Regions from separate parts of the Mus musculus genome. Here regions 1, 2, 3 and 5 are each reported to be linked to region 4. Evidence: microRNA targets listed by miRTarBase, many of them from high-throughput screens and not tested one by one. Region 4 holds a microRNA gene; each other region holds the end of a gene's coding sequence.
What was found. Region 4 holds the annotated microRNA mmu-miR-1912-3p (CACAGAACAUGCAGUGAGAACU, at 2,177-2,198, shown strand). A microRNA usually pairs through its seed, bases 2 to 8, with sites in the 3' UTR of a target mRNA and lowers its output. Matches are read on the target gene's strand: a 7mer-m8 pairs with bases 2 to 8, a 7mer-A1 pairs with bases 2 to 7 and ends in A, and an 8mer does both.

Region 1 (4,928 bases), not on the chromosome of region 4:
GCTGCTGTAGAGTTGGACAGAGAAAGCATGGGGTTCTAAAGACCGAGATGCTGCCCCTCTGGCACTGAACACGTAGCCTTCAGTGGGTTCTTACAGTGCAGACTCCTGCCTCTGTTGTTCTCCATCCACACTAGGGGTAACGTAGTCCTAAAGAAACAGAAGAGGCGGCACCTGGAACCTTTGCCAATAGTCCCTCCTCCTTTAATGATTATGGTATAGTAACTGATGGGCCTCATCTTGAGTCATTAAGAAAGGTAGTAGTTTTTGCTAGAGTGCTTTTAAGAGGGAGGAGGAGTACAAAATCAGTAGAAAAAAATGTGAAGTGCACGAAGCCCCTGTGCTCACGGATAAGCTCTAGGGAAACCAAGAATGTTTAACATGCAGAGTTCTCTCCTCAGTGGAAGGACCTGGTTTCCATCCAGAATTCCAAGGGTGGGTGTGGTTAATAGCTTGGTGACCTCTTCACTATCTGTATGGCCAGGCCATACCTGATTCCTGTTCCCACAAGCAGGACTGATTCTGTAGGGCCAGGCCACACCTTCCCCCACCCTTACAAACAGGACTGGGGATGGTTTATAGCCTTGTGACCTTTGTACCACCTGTATGACAGAGACCACTCTAGAGCCTCCTCCAGACCCACGCACAGGCAGTGTCTCTGTAGAATCCATCTTCACGGAAGAGGTAACATGCTTTGAAAAGAATTTTGAAGTAATTATGCCTTAAGCTTTATTGTACATATGAGATCATGTTATACTGGGAAACTTGTAATTTACTTAAATACACCTAAAATTGTCTAATGTTAGACTCTAGAAGTTTGAACCAACACTGACTACTGAGCTGTGTTGAACCAGACTCCCCTCTTGCCTCATTACATTCTGCTGGCTACGGTGTTGCAGGGACCCCCTCCCTAACAGGAAAATACCTTCAACATGCTGATATTTTAGAGGAAAATGTAGAACTGTGTTATGGGGAAGCATCAGCCAGCTGTTCAGTGCTTTTAGACGGATGGTTAGATGCTCCAGAAATGCTGGACAACCAAGTTGTTCTCAGCCACAGTCCTGGCTGCACTCCCTGGCTGACCATCCCAGCTTACCACCGCCGGTTCACACAGCAGACTCTTTCTGATAACGTCGCTGAGAGTGGGTCCATGCTCCTGACATGCTGTGCATCCTCTTCTCACGGGGAGGATAGCAGGCTAGCTCGCTCACAGCGGCTCCTTCTTTGCAGGGTGATGAAGAAGTACGACAAAAGCGGCAGGCTGATCTGTAACGACGTGGACCTGTGTGACTGCCTGGAGAAGAACTGCCTGGGATGCTTCTACCCGTGCCCCAAGTGCAACTCCAACAAGTGTGGGCCGGAGTGCCGCTGCAACCGCCGCTGGGTCTATGATGCCATCGTCACCGAGTCTGGCGAGGTCATCAACACCCTGCCATTTAGTGTTCCTGACTAGGAGATGTTATGCATAGATTCACGGCTAGATTCACCCCTCTCCTCTCTCCCCTCTCCCCTCTCCCCTCTCCCCTCTCCCCTCTCCCCTCTCCCCTCTCGCCTCTCCTCTCCCCTCCTCCCCCCTGCTCCCCTTTCTCTCTGCCTGCGTGTGCTTTGTGTGTGAGGGTGTGCATTTGTTTGTTTTGAAACAGGGTCTTATTCTGTAGCTCAGGCTGGCCTTGAACTTATGGCAATTCTCTTGCCTTAGCTTCCCAAGTTGTATTAATTTAGGTATAGTACATCATGCCTGGCTTCTATTCCTTCTACATGCATGCATGCATACATACATACCAACAAACATTCATGAATGAATGTATGGCCCTATAGAGAATATATTTTATATATGTACACTTTTAAGTCAAACTTCTTTCTCTTGGATACGTGTTGGTGCAACAGATGGCTGTAGACCAGACAATCATTGTATAGACCCTCTCAGCTTCCTCAGCTGGTGACCACAGGCTGCAAGAGTGGACACTCAGGCTTCCTCATTAGCAGCACTCTCAACTCTGCCTTGAAGCTACACCTCTCCCTTCTCAGGGTGTCTGGTCGAGAACACCGTAATTTTAAGGTTTGCAGAACTCTGCATCTGAAAAGCTGTTACCTAGAACATACAACCAAATGTATGTTTTTCTTAGAATGTCACATATTACTAAGAAAAGCCAACTTGTTCTTTGTACTGTATATCTTTAGTCTTATTTTTTTATATTTTAATGTTCAACTTAAATTTGGTAATTACAATATTTTTATTACCAAACATTCATATTGTACTAAATTGTATATAGTTTACTAAATTGAGAAGCAAAGACTTGAATATGCTAAAAGTCTGTGACTAACCCATTTCCTTACTGGATCAGTATTTCAGGGTTTGTTTTTTGTTTGTTCTTTAAGGAAGTTAGCCTTCAGTGATACCCAGAGTGGCTTGTATGTTTACTAGTTGGATGTATGGATGGGCAGCTGACAGAAAGCATGACGTGGCTGGCTGTGTTCTAACATATGGTAGCAGGTATCTGGAAAGTTGAATTCGGCCTTCTATGTACTCATTTCTTTGTGCTCATGTGCAAGTGTGTGTGTGTGTGTGTATGTGTGTGTGTGTATATCTTTTGTGAACTTACGTACATCAGTGCAGGTGCCTGCAGAGGCCTGCGATGTTGGGTTCTTCAGAGCTTGCGTTACTGGCTTTTATGAACCACTTGAAATCAGTGCTGGGAACCACCAAACTTTTCAAGAGCAGTATGTGCTTTAAATAACTGAACCATCTCTCCAACACCAAATGTACTAATTTTCCCCATTTTGAGTCAGAGTTTCTTTTATGTTCATTGTCTGGGGGGCTCGCAAATCCTCAGTTACTAACTTAAGGTCTGTACTGTGACTCAATTTACATTTGAAACGATTTCCCAGATGATATTGATGTCACAGGCCTGGGGGCCATGTATGAAAAGCACTTCTTTAAGTTACAGTAGATATGTAATGCAAGGAAGTATTTAAACAGTGGGACTTAGTGACTTGGTACTATTTTAAACCACCAAGAATTCTGTTTTAAATAAATGTGAAGTGTTGAAAGCTGGGTTTTCAGGGTTTCTTTTTTCCTCCATGTTTTGACATGAAAATCCCAAAGATTTTACTGTGCCCATGGGACTCCTGACACATAACAGGAGAATGTAGGTTCCCTGCTCTGTTTCCCACAGTTTACCCGCTTTTCTGGATTCCAGTTACTTTTGTGGCTGCCTGTTGAACCCAGGGCTTTGTGCATTCACAGTAAATGTTTATCACTGAACTGCACCCAAAATTCTCAAGTCACCTTTTTGGAGTATCTATGCCCTAAGCCAAACACTATGCCAAGTGTCTCTCATTTTGTGACCATCAGCCCTCACGGTCCTGAGAGAAAGGTGAGTGAAATCACACAAGTCACATCTTTTGGAAGCTCACTGAGGCTAAAAGGATGGCGGTCCCTTTCACTTATCCATTTTCTGAATAGTGAACCTGCTGTACTCCGTGATGACTTATTTAGTGTGCACTGTTTCAGCTCATGGGAAGGATGGATAGGTCGAGAAACACCCAGAAGTTGTTCTGTGCCAGCCATTGATCTAGATGCCAGAGACAGCACTGTAAGACTCCAGGGAGCCCCCTGGGTGAACCACGTCGAGCCAGGATCGATGGAAAAAGCAAGAGGAATTTATTGTTCCAGTGAACTGAGGTCGTCCCAGACCCAAAGGAGAGGCAGCGACCCCCAGCACCAGTTCAGCGAGTTTTTATATGGTTTCCAGGGGCAGAATAGAGCATCAGCAACTAGGCACAATATGATTGGCAGAACAGTGCACCCTTTAAACTGGTCTTTAGGCAATGAGGTGACAAGGACTTCCCTTGTCTGAAGGTGAGCAAGGAATGAACTGTCCCCACCACCCTGTGGTCTAAGAAATGCTAATTAGTCTCTCTCTTTCTCTCTCTCTCTAGAGAGAGAGAGAGTGTGTGTGTGTATGTATGTGTGTGTTTCATGACCTCCCCAAAGTTCCTATGCTGACCTTTTCAGTATCAACCAAAATCCACCTTCTCTCTACCTTCATGGAGTTTTGTGCACTTAAACCAAACCATTTTCATTTTTGGTTCTTTTCATCCTGCCTTTACAACTGAGTTAATGTAGCCCCAATTAAATAAGCTGGACCGAGGGAGCATTCATGAAAAAGCTAGCAACCCTGATATTGTTCGAGATAGAATTTTATGAAGCCCAGGCAGACCTAGGACTCCCTGCTTAGCAGAGGACGACCCCAACCTTCAGATTCTTCTGCCTCCACCTCCTGAGAGCTGGTATTAAAAGTGTGTATTACTATGCCATGCTAGAGACAGAACCCAAGGCTCTGTGCATGTTTGCACACCCTCTACCAGCTATGCTAAGTATACCCCAAGCTTACCCCTGATCATAACACTTGCCCTTGTAACACACCATGCTAAGTTGGCCAGCCCATAATCACATGCAGGTACTTTTAATAACATTCCTTTCTGAGCCTGCTCCTACTCCTCCAAATCAGCACTTCAGAACTGCGGCCCAGGCAGTGTTTCCTCAAAGCAGCTTCCTTGGTGAGCCTCCTGGTGAGTGTGGAAAACCCTCCTTCTGTCGCCAGTCCCCACCATCATATGTCATACTAAAAACAAAGTGACACTATTCTATTTCCTCTTGCCAGTCTCTGTTAAGCAGCAAGGTAATTTGGCCTTAACTGATCTGTCTTGATAAGTAAGTGTATTAGCAAGTTATATTTGCAGCTTTCCCAGTAAATCCAAAAATAAAAGAAGAACAATTCCTCAGCAGACATTGCCTGCTATTTACACAGAGCCTAGTAAAACATGGTTCAATGCAATTTTAGAAATCAGGTTTGTAAAATATGACTTTAAGAATCAGGTTTATGAAATACGATTAGAAATCAGGTTTATCTCATTCATCTTGATTG
Region 2 (4,928 bases), not on the chromosome of region 4:
TGTTGGGAGCATGGTTTTATATTTGGTGAATATTGGTGCTACACATTTAACTTCTTTCTAGAGATTCACTTTAGTTTTATGTATGTATGTATGTATGTATGTATGTGTGTATGTATGTATGAGACCCGTGTATGTATGTATGTATGCATTGAGACTGATGTATGTATGTATGTATGTATGCATTAAGATTGGTGTATGTATGTATGTATGTATGCATGTATGTATGCATGTATGTATGCATGTATGTATGCATTGAGACTGGTGTATGTATGTATGTATGTGTGTATGTATGCATTGAGACTGGTATATGTATGTATGTATGCATTAAGATTGGTGTATGTATGTATGTATGCATGTATGTATGCATTGAGACTGGTGTATGTATGTATGTATGTATGCATGTATGTATGTATGTGTGTATGTATGTATGAGACCGGTGTATGTATGTATGTATGTATGCATGTATGCATTGAGACCGGTCTTTCTACAGAGTCCTGGCCGTCCTAGAACTCCCTAAGACCAGGATGGCCTTGAGCTGACAGAGGTCCATCTGGTTCTACCTTTGGAATGCTGGGATTAAAAGCATGTACCCACCACCCCCAGCTATTTTTATTTAAATTACTCATATATGTGGGGGGGGGCATATTTGAGTTCAGGTGGTGCCTGTGGAGTTCAAAGAAGAGCATTGGGTCCTCTGATGCTGGAGTCATGGGTTCTGGGAACCAAACTCAGGTCCTTCCCAGAATCAGCGCATGCTTCTGTCTGACCACTGAGCCATCTTCCCAGTCTTATGTGTTTTTTGCTTTTTTGTTTTCCTTCAGCAAAGAAGTTGCCATTCTCTGCAGTTTTCTGCTGGGTCTGGGAGACAGCTGCTTCAACACCCAGCTGCTTAGCATTCTGGGTTTTCTCTACTCGGAAGACAGCGCGCCGGCCTTCGCGGTCTTTAAGTTTGTTCAGGTAACTGGGTTGTGCTGCAGTCGGTTTCCTTCCCGTTGTCCTCGGTCACTGGGGGTTTAAATGAATGCTGGGTGTCCTGTAAAGGGGGGTGAGGAGAACCAGGCACAGTGGGCTTGCTTAGGTGAGAGGCTTTAATTCTGGTCTCTGCACTTGAGTGAATACTTCCTTAGGTACCAGCCCCATCTCTCCAGAGAGTCTCAGACTTCTCATCACTTTATTGTACTATTATAGTGCCACAGCTTACTGGATTATTGCTGTCAGGCAAGTTGGGGTGCATTTGTGAGCTGGGGACCAGTGAAGTCTGTCTTCACGGGCACTGCCAGTTGCAGATGTCCTTTGGGCTGACTGTGGAGCATCTGAGGCCCCAGCATCCACTTGGTGATTTATCTTGTTTCTTCTAGTCAATCTGCGCAGCCGTGGCCTTTTTCTACAGCAACTACCTCCTCCTCCACTGGCAGCTCCTGGTCATGGTGATATTTGGGTTTTTTGGAACCATTTCTTTCTTCGCTGTGGAGTGGGACGCTGCTGCCATCGTGGCCCGAGGCTCGGACTACCGAAGCATTTGATGAGAAAACAAGTGTCTCCAAGAAACACAGCTGGTCACATGGCAGCTGGTTAAATCCGACGGCCTGTCAGTCTCATAATCGCTAAAGCGAGAACGGAGACTGTGAAATCGGGCGGGGTTGGTAGTAAAGTTTACATATCCTAGCGGCACACGCTAGCGGAGGAAGGGAATCCCGCTCTATCCGTTACAGCTGTTCTGAGATGTTCGTCCACCCCCTCCCTCAGTTCCTCACAATCAGGGCTCCTCCATCCTCATTCTCGAGGAACGATCCAGCCTGGCTCGCCATGTGTCACGAGATCCTTGCTGGCTGTGGAGTATGCCTCACTCTTTCGAAATAGGAAGCAGATGCCACTCCATGTGTGGGTCTGGGAATGACTTTCTGAAACACAGCAAGGATGCTGAGACACGTTGTTTTGAGACAGGATCTCACTGCGTAGCCCAGGCTGGTCTTGGACTTGCAGCCCTCCCCTGCCTCCAGTGTTGGGGTTATTGCCCAACACTGGATTTAAAACGCTCCAATCCTAAGAGTTAGGGTCTTGATATGCAGCCTTGGCTGGCCTGGACTTTGTATACCAGGCAATGCTCCTGCCTTTGTCTCCAGAATGCCTGGGTGGTGAGAATATGCTACCACACACCGCTGAGACTTCAACTTCTCCTAAAATGCTTTGTTGAACAAGTCTTACCTTGTCACTCCCAGCAAGGGGCTGGTTATGTGTAATGAGGTAAAGACTGTGTCATTTGTCAACTAATAAAAGCATATTTAGAGAAGGAAAGAGTATTTACTGGGAGGGGGAGGACTCATGCTGTGGTTGTCCTGACCGTTACAATAAAGAAAACTCCGGCCATCCTCTGTGGGAAAGTGCGTAAGCACTGCAGACTGTCTCCCACAAGGACTGACACTCTTACGATTGAGATATTAAATTAATTAAGCATCTAGATCAGGTCTAACATGTATGTACTGCAGCTTGGCCTCCAACTTGTGCTCTTCCAAGCCACAAACAACCTCTGGCTAAAATTCACCAACTTAGTGTGTATGTGTGGTGTGTGTGCATAAGGTTGTATAACTGCCACCATATCTAATGACAATATTTTATTTTTAAATTCTTTTTTATTTTATTTATTAGTGTATGTGTTTGCCTGTGGCTTGTCTGTATATACATTCTGCCTACAGAACTCAGAGAAGTCAGATGGAGATTGGATCCCTGCGAACTGCATTTACAGGCAGTTAAAGACCACTGATATGGGGTGCGTTCTCTGGTGTCTTAGTTACTTTCCTCTTGTGAAGAGATACCAAGGCAACTTGTTTCGAGACAGGGTTTCTCTGTGTAGCACTGGCTGTCCTTGAACTCACGAGGCTGGAGAATCTGGTTGAGTGCTGGGATTAAAGTGTCCACTATTTCTTTGTTTTGTGTCGATGTACCTTGACGGATGTATTCGCCTAGCTTTCTTGTTTTTCTTCTGTATTAAAAGTCTGGTGCCTGCTTGGAAAAATTACATTAAGATACACAGTCAAGGGCTGGCGAGATGGCTCAGTGGGTAAGAGCACCCGACTGCTCTTCCGAAGGTCCAGAGTTCAAATCCCAGCAACCACATGGTGGCTCACAACCATCCCCAACAAGATCTGACTCCCTCTTCTAGAGTGTCTGAAGACAGCTACAGTGTACTTACATATAATCAATAAATAAATCTTTAAAAAAAAAAAAAAAAAAAAAAAAAGATACACAGTCAAAAAAAAAAAAAGGTGTGCACTACCAATGCCCAGCCAAGGGAACTTGCTTAAGGGTTTATTGGCACTTAAAAGTTCCAGAGGGTAAGTCTGTGACCATCATTGTGGCAAGCATGACAGCGGGACAGGCCTGGGGCTAGAGCAGTAGCCAAGAGCTCACATTTTATCCACAAGCAGGTAGCAGAGAACTAACTGGGAATGGCTTTCTGCTTTAGAGAATTGTCTTTATGTAACTTATGTATATAGATATATGTGTGCATATATGTACACCAGAAGAGAACTTCCCATGGGTCTGCCATTACAGATGGTTGTGAGCCTCTGTGTGGATGCTAGAAATTGAACTCAGAACCTCTGGGAGAGCAGCTGCTGCTCTTAATCATGGAGCCACCCCTCCAGCCCACTTCCAGTGACACTTCTCCCAATCCTTCCCAAACAGTTCCTCCAACTGGGGGAGGGGGAGGAGCATTCAGCTGTGTGAGCCAGTGGGGACCTTTCTCATTCAAGCCAGGACAAACCCCAAGTGCTCTCAATCCTCAGCCCGCTCTGCAGCCCCAGGACTGCAGAACTGTCTTGCATTGTCTCAGCCCTCAGCCCGTCTCAGATGTGGCAGGCACTAACAACCTTCCTATGTCTGGACCTGCTGGATATTCCATAGAACAGAGCCTTCCCTTTAAACGTGACATTTATCTGTCCACAGTACAGTGAGTCCAGCTCAGAGAAACATATCTTGTTTTCCATCACTTTGGGGTTGTTGGTTTTTTGGAGTTTGTTTGGGTTTGTGTTTCTCTCTCTCTCTCTCTCTCTCTCTCTCTCTCTCTCTCTCTCTCTCCTTTCCCCTCCCCTTTACAACCTCCCCACTCCCCTTCAGAGTAGCCTAAACCAAACTGGTCTTGAACTCACAGAGATCTGCCTTCCCTCTTGAGTGCTGGAATTAAAGGCATAGCCATCACACCCAGACCTGTGACTCTGAAACATGCCATGAATCTAGAAATTGTGTAGTTGGTTGGATGATTTGGGGGTGGGGGGCAGGTGAGATTTATTCTTATTATTGATTAGGTGTGTATGCTTGTGTCAGTGTCAGAAGGCAGAGGCATGGGATCCCCTGGAGCTAGAGTGGCTGTGAGCCACCCAGTGTGGGTGCTAAGAACTGACCACACTCACATCTGGAAGAGCAGTGCACACCCTTAACCCATGAGCCTTCTCTCTAGCTCCGTGCTTCAGTTCTTGAGATAGGCTATTGTATAGCCTAGGCTCTCCTCCATCTCACTATGTAGCATAGACTGACCTCACATTCCTCCTCCTCCTGTCCACCTTCTGAATGCTGGGATTACAGACACGCACCACCATGCCTGGCATTTTTGAGTATTTGATGGTAGGGTAGGAATCCGCAAAGCCCTGCTGTCAGCCGCAGTCCTTATAGAAGTCCCCTGTGTGGAACGATGGCGTCCTCCCTGGTTGTAAGGTTTGTTTTGTAAGGCAGGGTTTCAGGTAGGCAAAACTAGCTTCAGATTTGTTATGTAGTTGAATTTGACCTTGAACCCTGGTCCACCTGCTTCTGTTTCCAAAATGCTGGATTACAGGCTTGCACCGCCATGCCAGGCTGAGGTCTGGCTGGCTTTCTTGAAGCTGAGATAACCCCAGCAGCTGGTTGACCCTGTTGTTGCCCTTAGTTCTTTAGCT
Region 3 (4,928 bases), not on the chromosome of region 4:
TAAGCACTTTGCTGACCAGACCACATCCCCAGCCGTGGTTGGGAATCCTACAAAGACTAGAAATAGCCTTGTCCACAGCAAAGCTGTGTGTGTGTTTGTGTGTGTGTGTGTGTGTGTGTGTGTGTATGTGGCTCCAGAGGCCTAATGATCTCTGCTGTAACCACTAGGTCTGTCACACAGGTAGGAAGGAAGCCATGGGCAAGATGTCGTGAATGTGTCTGCTGTGTCCAGTGAAAGTTTACTGATGGCTACTCAGCTCCAAGTTTCATGGAGTTCTCAGGTGCTGTGAATATTATCGTTTAGATTCTTTGTTTCAGACATTTACAGGTACTAAGAACAATGTCAGCTTATAAGTTATGTGTAAATAGGCCTTGGACTAGATTTGTTCCACGGTCATAGCTTGCTCTCTACCTTTGAACATATACTCAGCAGAGTGCTTGGAAAGTCAATACCCAAGAAGTGAATTGTGATCTGTTTCTATGAAGTCACATGTGGGCCACATTCCTGGGTACCCAGAGAGAAGGTGCCTGGGTTTCCTGGATCTTAGGGAGCCCCATAGGCTGAGTATAGCCAGCTTCTTTGTGCCCGCATGAGTCCCTGGCAGGGGCTTCGGTGTTTTCTGGCCAAGTCTTGTAGCCACCGAGCATCCTTTCCATGTGTGCCCAACATTTCCCATGGAGTGTGACACTGATGACATTGAGACCCCACCAGGGGAGGACCTCTCTGCCACCCTGTCAGCTGCTGGGTCACATGTCTTCCTGCACAGGAAAAATGATCACAACCTGACTCAATCCACCCATTGAGAGAGTGACATCCACCCTCTCAATGGAAACTTCCCTTCTCATACACAGCTTACTCTCACGAAGGGACGTGAAGGTTCTCGACAGCACAAGATAGAAATTTTGTCACATAACCAACAGTTCAGGAAGTCTCTGTGATTTCTTAACTTATGCAACCCATATAGCACAAAGATACCAGTTTTGAGAACATTATGATGCAGTTGTTGGTTTTTTTTTTTTATAAGAACAGATTAAAAACTTGGGTATGAGAAGATGGCAGTAAGTACCATAATATATTTTGCACAATTTCTTGATACTACCAATTCTGAGGAGATATGTGGGTGCCCTGCTAAGGCTCAGCGGCCTGTATTTTCTTTGGGGTCTTTGTCACACCTATGTAATACCTTTCTTTCATGCCTATAGAAAGATCCTACAAGGGGCTGGTGAGATGGCTCAGTGGGTAAGAGCACCTGACTGCTCTTCCGAAGGTTTGAAGTTCAAATCCCAGCAACCACATGGTGGCTCACAACCATCCGTAACAAGATCTGACGCCCTCTTCTGGAGTGTCTGAAGACAGCTACAGTGTACTTACATATAATAAATAAATCTTAAAAAAAAAAAAAAAAAGAAAGAAAGATCCTACAAAGAAGGACAGAGGGACCCTGGAAGATGGGCAGCAGGGCTGTGCCACCTGGCCCCTCCAGAAACAGGGACTGCTTGGAGTTGTGTATTCTATGGTGTCCTTGTTTCAAGAATTCCTCTCAGGCCATGGCAAACTGTTGAGCTGGGTGGGCATCCAGTTCTTGCCTCTGCCCAAGTGCTGCATGGGTAACTGATTACATTGTTAGGCACAGTCGAAGCTGTTGGTGTGCACAGTCGTTCCAGTTTGTCTGTCAGAATGGACAAAAGAAGAGCAATGGCCAATTCCACGAGACATCGGAAATACCAGCTACGAATCTGCTTCTGAGTCCTATGAGACCAAAGAAAAATCTTTTGCAGAGAAATCCCAAGGCCTGCTGCTGCCAAGCATGTTGGCCTTGTGGAAGCCGTGGAGGACAGATCTCCGACCCAAGGCTATTGTAGTGGGGACAGCCTCCTGGGAAAACCTCTGTCACCAAGAAGCTCCTCAGGGCTGCAGACACCCTCAAAGGTCTCCTTGGAGGTCAGGCTTGCCAAGCAGTTAGAAGGTTCACTTAGTGCTGCTTCTTAAACCAGGGCCAGTCTCTGCTTTGGCCCTATCTGCCCAGAGACCCCTCCATCTGCTCAAAGCTTCTCAGATGTTTCTCCCCAAAGCACAGAGAAGGACATGTTTCAATACACTAAAGCACCAGGGCAGAGTCCTCTTGAACACACTGCCAGGCAGCAGTAAGCTGGGGCAGTAAGCTGGAAGGACTCCTCCCACTACACCTAGCTAACACTGTCACTGACTGGGCATTGGGGATAAACTACAGGCTTTGCTCCAGGTAGACAAAGAACAAGAGATACTAAAGTGGTCACTCTCTGGCTCTGGCAGGCAGCTCACCAGGCCCAGATGGAGAAGTTACTCCAGTGACCATGCTAGGAGGGGTAGGAGAACTAAATTTCTAGGAGACCCTGTCTGGAAAGGTCCAGCATCTTCAGCTATGAAAGCTGTTCCCTCCAGATCAGAGACTAGGGTCAGGGAAGGGCAGCAGGCTACCATGTAAAAAGGGGACTGCACATGCTAGGCCTCTCCTGCCCACAAAGAAGGCTTTGCTGGCAAAGAGTTGGAAATGGGCAGGGGAAGATTGTCCCCCTCAATTCCCCAACTCTGGAGAGTGTGGGCGGAGCTTTGCATAGCAAGTACAGGGCTGGGGTCTTCCAATGAGGAGGGCAGACAGTGGATTTGTTTTGTTGACTTTGGTTTCCTAAGTCAGTAGGTCTGAAATTACAACTCAACAAAATACTGGGGCTCCAGATTTCCCAGAAATGAAGCCAAAAACAACATAAAGGGGGTGCAACAGGAATTCTCAGAAAATATCTACTGACCACTGGGTGTGTGTGGCACGCTTTATTTCTATAAAACTATTACAAAATATTCAAAAATACATTTTAGTAAATTTACAGCAGTTACTTCTCAGTTTATTAATGCAAAAACATCCTTGTTTTTCTCTGTACAAACTACAGGCTCCATCCTCGTGGGCTCGCTGCTAGGTGCACTTTTAAAAAATATTATTTTCTAATAAATTCTTTGAAGTTAAAAATAACAGAGTTCTTCCAGTCTGTCAAAAAAAAAAGTGTATATGTGTGCGTTAACAGTCTTGGTTTCCAAGAACATGACAAAGTGGCGGTTACAAAGCAAATACAAACCAAGAAGGCAGTACAGAAGACGGCTATTACATTGGAAAATAGTTAAATTAAAATAATATATTTTCATATTTTACACTTTCAAAAAATGAAATGTCATTCAGTTAGGTATTGATCTCTCAAAAATCTAATTTACAATTCTGTGTATAAAAATATAATTTGTGGACCCCCATGGAGCAGGTTTTAGTTTACACTTGCGGGAAAGCAGGAGCATAGCAGGAGAGGAATGCGGAGGTTTGCCTTCTGAAACGCAGGACAAGGGACATGTAGAAAAATAGACTTTCAGCAGGTTGCTTGGCCTCACAAAATAATCTTTCCCTCACTGTGAGTACAGTTCACACAATAATAAATTATCCAAGACACAAACTAGTTAAGGCTCTTGAAGGTCCGTTCATATTTTTAAAACATCTATTCATACGAAACAAATAAATAGCCAGGAGAGGAGAAAAACAACCCATATAAGACAATAACGAAAAATTTCAAAAAAATATATAAACTAAACATAACAACAGAACTCCCCGGGGTTTTTGCTTCCTTATAGTCTACTTTGGACTGCCCTACTTATTATTATTATTATTATCATTATTATTATTATTATGAATTATTCTTATAATTAAAAGTCTCCTTCCGTGCGCTTTCCCATCAGTTCCTTATTTCGCAGTCGCTCCCCGCCCCGCCCGCCCCTTGCCCGGTCCCGTCGGGCTTCAGCTGGACTTGACCGCCATTCCCAAGGGATGCATGGTCTCGCTGTCCAACAGCCAGGTGCCAATGTGGTAGAGCAGCTGCGAGTACCAGTGGATGCCCGCAGTCGGCTCCGCGCCCCTCGCTTCCGTTGCAGATTGCGCTGCAGGGATGCTGCCCCCGCCCCCGCCGTCCGTGCGGGCGGGTGCCAGCGCGGCCAGCAGCGCGTGCGCCAGGCGGAAAGGCGCGAAGGCCCGGTGTGCCCAGCTGTGCTCCTCGATGACAGCGTAGCACGAGGCGAGCACCCGGTTGATGAGAATGGTGCCGTGCGCCGTGAGCGGCGCGTACGCGCCCGCCTCCTCCTCTCGCAGCGTCACGCTGTGCACCGCGGCGGGCAGCAGCCGGCGGTCCCCGCCGCGTTCAGCCACCACGTACACGCGCTGCCCGGGGCGCACGCGGCTGGCAAAGAGCGCGCTTGGCCCGGGCGTGGGCCCCGAGTCGTTGTGCGGCGCCACGAAGAGCAGGTGCGCGGCGGTGAGCAGCAGGCGCTCGCGCGGCTCCAGCGTCTCGATCACGTAGAAGACCTTCTTGGCGCCTTCGTCGCGGTCCAGGAAGGTGAGGAAGTCGCTGTACAGCAGCCGGCCCTGGTCGTCAGCCGCCAGCACGCGGTCTCCGGGACGTAAGTCCTTCACCAGCTTGGTGCCGCCCTGCTCCAGGTGCACGGTGGCGGATCCCGGGAAACAGCCGCCGGATTTGGCCGCCACGGAGTTCTCTGCGGAGTAGAGAGAAAGACCAGGTGTTGAGTGCCAAAGGAGACAGGTACACCGGGTGCGTGTACGAGCGTGTGTGTGTGTGTGTGTGTGTGTGTGTGTGTGTGTGTGTGTGTGTGTGTGTGTGTGTGTGGCGGCGCGCGTTCATGTCTCACTCGGTTGGACCAGGGGCGCGCTCTTTGGGGTGGAGAGACGGGGGATAAGGGTGGGAGTAGATCTAGACTGGCCCGGCGCAGACTGCCCTATGCCAACAACCCCAGCGCTCCAATAGCTAAAGTCAGACTCAGGCGCATTCCTGAATGACCCTCCAAGATTGCTCCGCTGGGTAAAAGTTAGCCGGCTGTCTGCTCCAAGAGGCACGGGACACTCCCAG
Region 4 (4,928 bases):
TAATCGAGATCAGAGAGTGGTTAGTTCAGTCTGACAAACCTGGCAAGACTAGGAAAGTGTTTAATGACATGGAAGAGAGATCAATGTCATCCTTAACAAAAGAAATGTGTGTGCTAAGACAGACATACAGCAGCAGTGTGCTCTGGCTTTGGCATTGCTACTGTAGGAGAGAGGAAATGTTTTAGGCTCATCCTCCTTTTCTTCATGGCAGAGGTATCTATTGCATGAGTTATTACAAAGTGAAAGGAATCATTATACCGTAACTCAATAGTAGAAGGCTTACAAGAAACTTTGATTTCCATATTTCCATCTTTAGTATTATGAGTGAGGAGGGGGGTCAGGAAAGTGACCATTCTTCCTTTGCCATGTATTCCAATGCCAACGCACCACATATTTGGAGTAGTTTGTCTGAAAGGTGACACTGTAGAGAAATGCTTCATTTTCCATTACAAAACATGTAAGCTATATTATTAGTATTTTATCATGATTAAGCTGTGCTAATTTTCAGAGATATGAATGGCATATCCATTAAATCATGAAAGCTCTTTCAAATAATACTTTGCAATTCTGCCTTTTCTAATATGAAAGTGGAGACTATCACATATCAAGGGAGTTTATTAAAGTGATAATTTATAGCTTAATGTATGTCAATTTCAACTCTTTCAATGTTAACAAATCTTGGCTCTAAAAGAATACTAATACATCAACTAAGAAGCAAAGCATTGTAGTCTTCTATTTTCCCCAAATTGTTTCATTTAAATATAATCCATAGTTGGTCTTTAGAATGATAGGGACTAAACCAAAATATTTTTCAAACCCAAGTTCATTTTGCAGATCATTTAGCAAGTAAATATTAAGGCTCCTGGTGATGCTATGTTGAACATATTTATAAGATTCAAAAAACAACTCCACCAAACCATCAGTGAAGATTTGTTTACTTGTCTTAGCACACCATTCCATATTTACAACTGTGCAGTATTTAGGGCTCAGCGATAGGACCTCAGGCATTTTCCTTTCCCCAGCCATAGTAATTCACACCCAGTTTGAAGTCACATGCTCTTGATGTTCTCTTTGTAACAGTATTATTTCAGTTGCCTAGATGCTCCTCATTCTTTAAGTCCCAGGTTATGTGTGACTGTTTCATTAATCTCCCATGATACATACACCAGCAACCCTCACTATTTAAACTCTGTCTCTTATTTTACTTGGCTCTGTTGTATTTTTACAGCATTATTCTTCTGCAATTATCTTGTGCATTTGTTCACTTCCTTATTAACTCTCTCCCTGTCCTGCCTATTTATTCTAAATTTGATTGTAGCCAGGACTTTAGTTGTTTCCAGACAACTGCATTGCAAGAAACTTGTTCATTAAAAAAAAAAATAGGTAATTAGTCATCACATAGCTACTCCATAAAGTCTAACATTTAATTCAGGGTCATGGAACTGAAAAATAACATAAAAGTTGTTGGGAACATTTCAGGAAAAAAAAACAGCACAAAAAATATTAAAAAACAAGACCTATGAGGAAAATACGTTGATTCAGGTAAGACCAAGAACCAGTTTTACTTAACTTTTTATAATTGACAGAGATCTTTGACCTATTAAAGTCTTTTATCTTTTGAAAAAAAAATAGCAAATTTAGTTACTGATGTCCCTGTTTAATAGGTATAAACTGAGACCCAGAGATTGAACTAATTTGTACAAATTCAGAGAAATATAACATGTAATCCAGGTTTTCCTTCTTCCTATGTCCAATATTTTTTTTTCTCATAAAACCATCTATCTACAGGATCACTAACCAGAGTAGGGAATTTAGTTTGGATGTAGTGAACAATGACCTTTTCTATTTGAGTTTATAAATTTTTATGTTATCTCAGGAGGTTCTCAAATATCAACCTTTATTTGTGGTAGCTATTTGTTTTCTTTATATGGTTTGAAAGAGTATGTAGTGCAATGGTAGAGGGTGACAGATTGCTAATCTATTGGTTCTTCAATTTCCAATATTCCATAATTCTTTGGTTAAGTTTTCCACTTTGCCAACTAATATTTCAAATATACTTAATATTTTTTAACTTAACAAGCTGATGACCCCTTAACAACTATTGAACTACATATCACAAGCATATTAGTCTCTAGGATGTGCTCATTGCATGGGCTGTGTAGATTTTTATTTAATACACAGAACATGCAGTGAGAACTTGATAGAGATTGGAAGACATCCAGAAGAATAAACCACGAATTCTTATAGGATAACTTTGTATTTGGTACAGATTAATTAACTAACCATCCATTTAAAGGTTTTTACTAATCCTGTCTCCAAACACCACAACCTAGATTCAAAAACACACTACTTGAACTTCCATATTGATTCTATTTTTATTTGTTACTTGATATTCTTCTTTACATAGATTGTTAAAATTTCACACAGAGTCAAAGTTAGCTTTTTAGTAGAATTATAAACAATAATTCAGATGCTAGAGAAATGGCTTAGCAGTTAGGAGTACTTGTTGCTCTGGCAGAGGACCAAGGTTCAATTCCCAGCACCCAAAATTTGGTTTACAAGTGTTTTTTAACTCCACCTTCAGTGAATCTAACACCCTCTGATGGCCTCCTTGGGCACTGCATGCATGTGGTGCACTTATATACGCAGGCAAAGCATTCACATGCATCAAAGTAAAAGAAAGACAATTTCCTCAAATATCCCATTGATTCAACAACATAAAACTTTTGTTTCAAATATATTATGACCATGTGTCAAAAATTACATTGATGACACATTAGATGCAGATGTTTTACATTATTAATGGGATATTAATAAATATGTCACCTGATGCTCACCTCATTCTTACATTTGAAACTTATTATTGAAAATATTCTGAATAGATATATGTCATTCATTTTAAATAGAAGACTTTTCTAGAGTAGTAGAATGATTTAGCTTGATTTGAAAGCATAGCAATCCTTGCACATTTAATACTTATAATTAAAACGTACTTGTTCTTGTTTTGGCATCTCCTTGTTTATGTAAGGAAGCAAAGCCAAACTAAATATGTATTAAAAAGTCTAATTGAAGAGCCAGAATAAAACACATTATAGGTCAGAAACACAACAGCTCTATATTTAGATACAACTAAGAACAAAGTAGAGATAAAAGGAGGTTTATAAAGAAAATGATTTAGTAATTACTTTTTAGAAATATTGAAACTTCTATGTCATATTGAAAAATATGGTCGAACTTTTTAAAGACAATGTCAGGATACATAGAACACGTTATATTTCTTCATGCCTGGCATATAGCAGGTCCTCAATAAGTATTTGTTGAAAAAATAAATGAAGCAACAAATCTTATTTGAGCACCTGTTATGTGGAGGATAAAAAACTACAAACCAAACAGAGCTTGTGATCTTATATGGGAGAGAATGAATATAAGGTAAATGTACAAATGACTATCATTTTTGAAACTGTAATAATATCAAATACATCTTTTAAAAAGATCACAGATGCGCAGTTCATGTCCCATTATCAAAGAATTTAGAGACTTGAACCTGGGACTTATATGAAGTATGGGAGCAAAAGCATTTCTTGTAGAAATTTAAGTATTTATAAAAAGGAATACTAAATCAGTAATCTTACAAGGGTCAATAAATTAAAATAGAACTTCCTGGATCACCATAAAACCTTTTCATAACCATTTTTCTTAATGTCTTCAGCATATTACATTAACATAGTATGAAATAATGTGAGTTCCTTAAAGGCTTTGTGCCTCTTAGTTCTTTTTTACTTACATGTATTATCTATCATTTATAATAAAACTTATCCAAAAGGTTTTTATCCATTATTTATAGTAAATCGTATCCAGAATGTTTTTAAGTACCTTGTCCATCATTTTACTACTTTTCAGGTTTAATTTCTAGCCAGTTACTTGAAAGTAATTTGAATATGAAAATAGCATTTGTTGTTTCTAATTTTAAAATTCCACTGGAGATAGGACAATAGATAATGTATTTTAACCGAACACCTTTCCTGAGAAGATCAAGGAATAAAATGTTTTACATTTGAATTGCTCCTATGACATCTTTGTAAGGTATAGCTGTTATTGTTGATTTTATCGGACTAGAGGTATACATTAGGAAAAACAAATTGGTTAGTCTACTTTATGAATGATGTAAAGACCACTTTGAATATAAACTAGTATTGTTATCAATTTTCATGAAGGATGCCCTCAATCTCTTTTTCTATTTATTTGTTGATTTTTCTACTGAGAGTTTTGCTGTTGGTTTGGTTGGTTGATTGAGATTGTTTGTAACAAGATACCCAATAGCCTAGTCTGGTCTTAAACTGACTATGAAGCAGAAGATGACCCAGAAATTCTGGTCCTCCTGCTTAAAGGTATGCACCACAATATCTGGCTCCACAACAGTCTCATTTATGAGACAGGAACTAGATATACCTGCCCTTCTCTTCATTTTCCTCCTTTAATTTCTCCTCGCTTTTTCCTTTCATTTTCATTCTATGTACAAAAATTATGCAGATGTTATTCACTGTTCTGTATTCAATTACTTATACATACATGGGCTTGAGTGGTAATCCATATAGATAAAATGTTTGATGAATGATTTAGTAATCATCTGTTTTAGAAATATGGACTTATTTAAATGCACTGTGACTCTTAAAAACAAACTAGGTGGATCCACTGGGACTGCAATCCATAACTCTGCAGTTTGATTGGCTGAATTTTTTTGTAATGATCTTCATGTGTTGTAAGAAGTTTATTTGATGAAGGGTGAGGACTGCACTTATCTGTGCACATAAGGACAAATGTTTAGAATTTAATTAGAGACTATACTGACTTACTAAACTGATTGTTGTAGGTTATCCGCCAAGATTCATGACTTCACTGGCTAAGACTTGGCTAAGTTTCCCGTATTA
Region 5 (4,928 bases), not on the chromosome of region 4:
TCACTGTCCGCAATGGGGAGATAAACCCTCACCCACCAGCTCCCGTCTCTGATCGCATCCTCCAGGCAATGGGCTGTGAGAACCCTCTGGGTCGGGCTGCAGCGCGAGCGACCTGAGCTGTTGGGCTCTCTAGAGGAAGTTCTGATGCGCGCATCGGCCTGCCTGGAGGCGGCGGCCCGGGAACGCGAAGGTCTTGAGCAAGCGCTGCGACGGTGAGGGCTGGCCTAGCCTGGGGTCTGGGGACTCACGGAGGGGGCAGAGACTTGGCTCGGAAATGATCATGTCTATGATATCCCGGTTCCTCGAAGGCGGGAGAGTGAACACGAGAGGGAGGTGCGCGGACTGTATGAAGAACTGGAGCAGCAGCTCGGGGAGCAGCGACACCGCAGGCAGAGCCAGGTGGGCCCGCGCACGCCTCGCCCAGCCTTGCTGCTCGCCTCTCTGGCTCCGCCTTCCCCGAATTGGTTCCTCCCCAGAGGACTCACCTCTGGGAGTCCAAGCTGCCCCAAGTCCAGGGAACTCTGCTCTGCCTCAGCAAGTGCCCCTTCCCGCACTCTCCACCCCTTCGCTACCCACCCTTGCCTGCCTCCTTTGAGCCCGGAACGAAGGCTCTAGCGCGGCTGTACATCCCAGAACCTACCCCGGGAGGAACAGAGGGGCCACCTGGAGCTGGAGCTGCAGACCCGTGAGCAGGAGTTGGAGCGCGCAGGCCTGAGGCAGCGGGAGGTAAGCCGTATTGAGTTCAAGTTGGTGTCCTCGCATGGGGGGGGGGGGGGGCGGGCGGGTTTATCTGTGCCTTGGGGTCCTCAACCAGGAGCCACAGGGGTGAGGGGTCAGCTTGGGACCAGAGGGGTGTGGCATGCCAACCAGCATTCCACCATTCCCCAGCTGGAACAGCAGCTGCAGGCCCGGGCTGCAGAACAGCTAGAGGCACAGGCCCAGCACATCCAGCTGCAGAGGGCCTATGAGGCCATACGGGCACAGCTGGACCAGGCCCAAGAGCAGCTCAGTCGACTGGAGGGCGAAGCACAGGGTCGGCAGGAGCAAACCCAAAGGTGTGGTGAAGTGCCTGTGGTGAGGGTAGAAGGGTCTGTCCCCCCAACCCACATCTGGATCACAGCCTTCCTGTCCACAGAGATGTGGTTGCTGTCTCCAGGAATATGCAGAAAGAGAAACTCAGCCTCCTAAGGCAGCTGGAGCTGCTGAGGTGGGTCAGGCCTGCCTGGGCTAATGGGAAGTGGTTTCAAGTTTCCAGATAGTATTGGCTCCTACCCATGTTGCTGGAAGTCCTTATGTCTGCCCTATAGCCTTCATGCGGCTGGCTCTGTAGTCCTCTTGACTCAGGGAAGGCATCTCCCCCATGCACTTTTTCCTCTAGATCTTAGCCTCCTCGGTCTCCTACCTCTCTTTTCTAGGGAGCTGAATCTGAGGCTTCGAGATGAGAGAGATGCCTGTGAGACCAAGCTGCTGGGCAGTAGCCACAGGAAGGCTCTAGCTATTGCCCACAAGCCCGGACCCATCTACTGCTGCTGCTGCTGTGGCTGGGCTCGGCCCCCCAGACGAGGCTCTGGCCATCTTCCTAGTGCCCGATGACCAGCCCCGAGTGACTCACTTCCCTATCCAGAGGACTGCCCCTAGGAGGGACTGGTCTTGGTGGCGGATACTTGCTAAGTGTGTGGCTCTACCCAGAAGGCATCCCATGCCTGAAGGAGCTAACCTCAGAGTAGTCAAGGCCTTCAGTCCTTCAGTCTTTATCCTGTCTTCCTTTTTTTTGGGGGGGGGGGTTTCGAGACAGGGTTTCTCTGTGTAGCCCTGGCTGTCCTGGAACTCATTCTGTAGACCAGGCTGTCCTCGAACTCAGAAATCCGCCTGCCTCTGCCTCCCGAGTGCTGGGATTAAAGGCGCGTGTGCCACCACGCCCGGCTATCCTGTCTTCCTTAATCTTTGTCTGAAGGACCAATAAAGGCCATTGTATACTGTGTACTCCTTGGCTCTTGTGTGTTTGGGAGCCACGGTGCATTTGTGGTTCATGCTTGGTATCCATGGCACAAGGTGACATGGAGGGGTTTACAGGTGCACATTAACCCCTTCGTTCCTGCAGCTGGGGGTTCCTGTGTGCTTGTGTGTGTTCTGTGATTCTGGATATTCACCAAGCCCTCACCCATTCCTCCCAGCTGAAGCTCCCAGGACTCAGGTTTCAACAGGTGTCCGCTCCCACGCTAGTCCACACGTGGAAGGTCCCGCTCCTCACCTCCGTGGTCAGCTAGCTTTCTGGTCCAGGTCCTTTATCCATCATCCTTTGGCACAGTTCCTAGCCAGACCATATGCCACCCACACTGGGCACCTCTCGCAGGGCCCTCATGTCTCTATGGAATCTTCTGGCACCCTCCACACTGTATCTGGAGTTTCCCCTCTAGCATTTCTTCAGCCGCTAGAACCTGCAGCTTTAGAGTGGTTCTCCCGGCTTAGACTAGAGAAACTGGTCTTGACCTCAGTTCTGGACCTCTGGTGGGCTAGGTGCCACCTTCCCCACCTCTTCGCTCCCCACCTGGGTTCTACCTCTGGTCTAGCTCCTCTGTCTCTGGGCGAGTTGGGGCTTTTGATGACAAACGGGGCACCTTTAAACTAACTTTACAGACCCACAGGTCTCTCTGGCGCGCGCCTTAGCACCAAACCAGTTAGGACTTGCCTGCCCAGGCCGGCCGTGGGCGGGGCTGCGCCCGGGGCGGGGTCGCGCGCAGGGCGTGTCCTCGCAGGCCCCGGGCCGAGCGTTCTCTGTACTCCGAGTGATCGCTCCTACCGTGGCTGCCGGGGCTGGTATTTCAAAGCGTGGTTGGTGAGTGCTCCGTGAAGCATAGCCGGAGGGTGTGGGGAGCAGTGTCCTGAGTTCCTCGCTCACTGGTGTTCCTAGTCTCCAAGCTGGCCTCAGGGACGCCCAGGAGGCAGAGCCTGAGGTAGGACAGGGTTGCAGACTCCTTTCCGGAAGATCGACGCCGGGGCCGGGCAGTTAGAAGGCCGGAGGGGGAGGGGTGAGGGAGAGAGCTTCTGTGGTTCTTGAGCAGGCCTGACGGTCTCTTTCGTGCAGAAACCCAGAAATTTAAAAGTCTGACCACCCTATTCATTGTCCCTGGACACCGGTTCCCTCCCCTGAGACCGCAGGTCCGCCCACTGGCACGGGGCGGGGGAGGGCGGCAGGGGCGGTGGTGACTTCATCTCTGTGACGCGGGGATTCCTCGCCCAGCCCACTTCAGTGTTTAATCGGGTCGGTGGGGCGGGTGCCGAAGGCCCAGGACAGGTCCAGGAGCTAAGTGTAGGGCGGTTGTGTCCAGGCCGCAGGAGCTATTTCTGGCTGGTCCAGGCTCTCACACCGGCACTTTCACAGAGAATTTACATCCAGTCTGCTGATTGTCTCTTGGCTTAGGTTGATGGATGTGTCTAAAAGCCCATAGATTCTGGGCTTTTAGAGCCTGGCCCCGGGGGTTTGCATTGTGGCCAGGCTTCTTTATGTCATTGCCCGCTTTCAGTGAGGCAGCATGCATTTTTGGGTCCCATCTCCAAATAGAGCTCTGAAATCTCTCCCACTTTCCAAAATGGACAGTCGATGCATCCTCCTTCAGTTTGCGGTCGCTGCTGTTTGGTGGGGGAGGGACTGTGATGGATGGGACTGGAAGGTGGGGCACTTGGAGAAGGCATTTGGTCCCTCCCTAGATCAGGCAGGTCAGCCATGTTCTTTGGCCTGCCGCCGTCCAGTAGAAAACAGCAGGCCTGCCTGTTATGCTTCCTTGCAGATCTGGTGGCTCTGAGAACCATTTTGACCACTGCTTAAGCTTCTGTAGTTGGAGTGGCAAGATCCCACCTGCTAGGTGAAGGGCAGAGAGTGACTTTTGACCTGTACCTGCTGGTCCTGACTTGAGAGGTGAGAGCTGGTGCCTGGGCAGAGCCTCAAGGCCCCTGGCTAACAGTTCTGCTTAGGTGTGTGTCTGGGAATCTGACCTGCGTCAGCCGAGGTCTGTACACTGTCCTCAGTCAGACAATAGTGTGTCTAGGGCAGGGTGTGACTAGGGGACTCCTGGAGGAGTGGCACATTCACATATGTGGAACTGGGACCTCCCCCTACAGTCGGGAGGAGAGCTGGTTGTACAGGCTCCACCTACCGGCATCTTATTGTCTCTGCCCTGGCTGGTAGTAGAGTCAGCTCAGAGTCCTCACAAACTGTCCCTTAGGGTGGCCTGAGCTCTCTGCCATATCTGGGAACGGGTATGAGTGGTAAGTACCTAGCAGCCTGATTGTGGGACTCAGGGAATGCTTGGGGGTGCCGATCAACAGGAATGTACCCTGAAGGTCTGCTGGTGCTTCCCCCCCTGTTGCCAGCAGGAGTGAGTCAGCAGATGTTGGGGGGTCCTCCATGATAACCCACCATGTGTCTGGCTGTGAGGAGGTTAGTTCAGGAAGTGACTCATAAGGTTCCTGGGAATGCTCCTCTGAGGGCAGATAGCTGGCTGAGCTCCAAACTGCAATCATCCGGGGACTGCTGGATCTCCTCCTGTCTCCGTTGGTAGATAGCTTTCTTCCTACTTGGAGGCCTGGTGCTTCAGGCCATCTGACCTCCTCCCCGTTCCTCTAGGCCCAGGATGGGTGAATTCAATGAGAAGAAGGCAACATGTGGCACAGTCTGCCTCAAGTACCTGCTCTTTACCTACAACTGCTGCTTCTGGGTGAGAAGAGCTAATTTCTCCCTGCATCCCTAGTCCCCATGTTGGAGGCCTGGCCTGGGGGGCTCAGTCCCAGCTTCCAGACCCAGGCCAGATGTGGTGACCAGTATATACTTTCTGCAGCTGGCCGGCCTGGCTGTCATGGCAGTGGGCATCTGGACACTGGCCCTCAAGAGTGACTACATTAGTCTGCTGGCCTCAAGCACTTACCTAGCC

Region 1: miRTarBase lists Arl14epl as a target of mmu-miR-1912-3p. Seed matches in the 3' UTR shown: 7mer-A1 at 1,648-1,654.
Region 2: miRTarBase lists Mfsd11 as a target of mmu-miR-1912-3p. Seed matches in the 3' UTR shown: 7mer-A1 at 2,979-2,985.
Region 3: miRTarBase lists Shh as a target of mmu-miR-1912-3p. Seed matches in the 3' UTR shown: 7mer-m8 at 3,613-3,619 and 7mer-A1 at 3,119-3,125.
Region 5: miRTarBase lists Cracr2b as a target of mmu-miR-1912-3p. Seed matches in the 3' UTR shown: 7mer-A1 at 1,832-1,838.

The regions. Positions count from the first base shown.
Region 1 is chr18:46,931,179-46,936,106 of GRCm38, forward strand. It overlaps Arl14epl (ADP-ribosylation factor-like 14 effector protein-like), which reads left to right. Exons shown (of 5, transcript NM_001033446.2): 5 at 1,228-3,044. The coding sequence ends at 1,450. Among named protein-coding and RNA genes, the nearest start is that of Arl14epl, 12 kb to the left of the region's middle.
Region 2 is chr11:116,872,423-116,877,350 of GRCm38, forward strand. It overlaps Mfsd11 (major facilitator superfamily domain containing 11), which reads left to right. Exons shown (of 13, transcript NM_178620.4): 12 at 822-957; 13 at 1,359-3,238. The coding sequence ends at 1,523. Among named protein-coding and RNA genes, the nearest start is that of Mfsd11, 21 kb to the left of the region's middle.
Region 3 is chr5:28,454,047-28,458,974 of GRCm38, forward strand. Shh (sonic hedgehog) reads right to left here. Exons shown (of 3, transcript NM_009170.3): 3 at 2,794-4,557. The coding sequence ends at 3,809. Among named protein-coding and RNA genes, the nearest start is that of 9530036O11Rik, 10 kb to the right of the region's middle. RefSeq lists enhancers at 4,769-4,928, 4,794-4,928.
Region 4 is chrX:147,007,317-147,012,244 of GRCm38, forward strand. It overlaps Mir1912 (microRNA 1912), which reads left to right and starts at 2,125; the gene lies at 2,125-2,211. The region is part of intron 2 of Htr2c (5-hydroxytryptamine (serotonin) receptor 2C); the gene reads left to right. Mir1264 (microRNA 1264) reads left to right here and starts at 3,285; the gene lies at 3,285-3,370.
Region 5 is chr7:141,464,631-141,469,558 of GRCm38, forward strand. Cracr2b (calcium release activated channel regulator 2B) reads left to right here. Exons shown (of 10, transcript NM_001025103.2): 5 at 66-212; 6 at 309-399; 7 at 634-726; 8 at 889-1,055; 9 at 1,136-1,207; 10 at 1,416-1,972. The coding sequence ends at 1,593. Cd151 (CD151 antigen) reads left to right here and starts at 2,732. Exons shown (of 8, transcript NM_001111049.1): 1 at 2,732-2,836; 2 at 3,789-3,916; 3 at 4,625-4,715; 4 at 4,836-4,928. The coding sequence starts at 4,632. Gm10575 (predicted gene 10575) reads right to left here and starts at 3,141. Exons shown (of 2, transcript NR_152219.1): 1 at 2,252-3,141.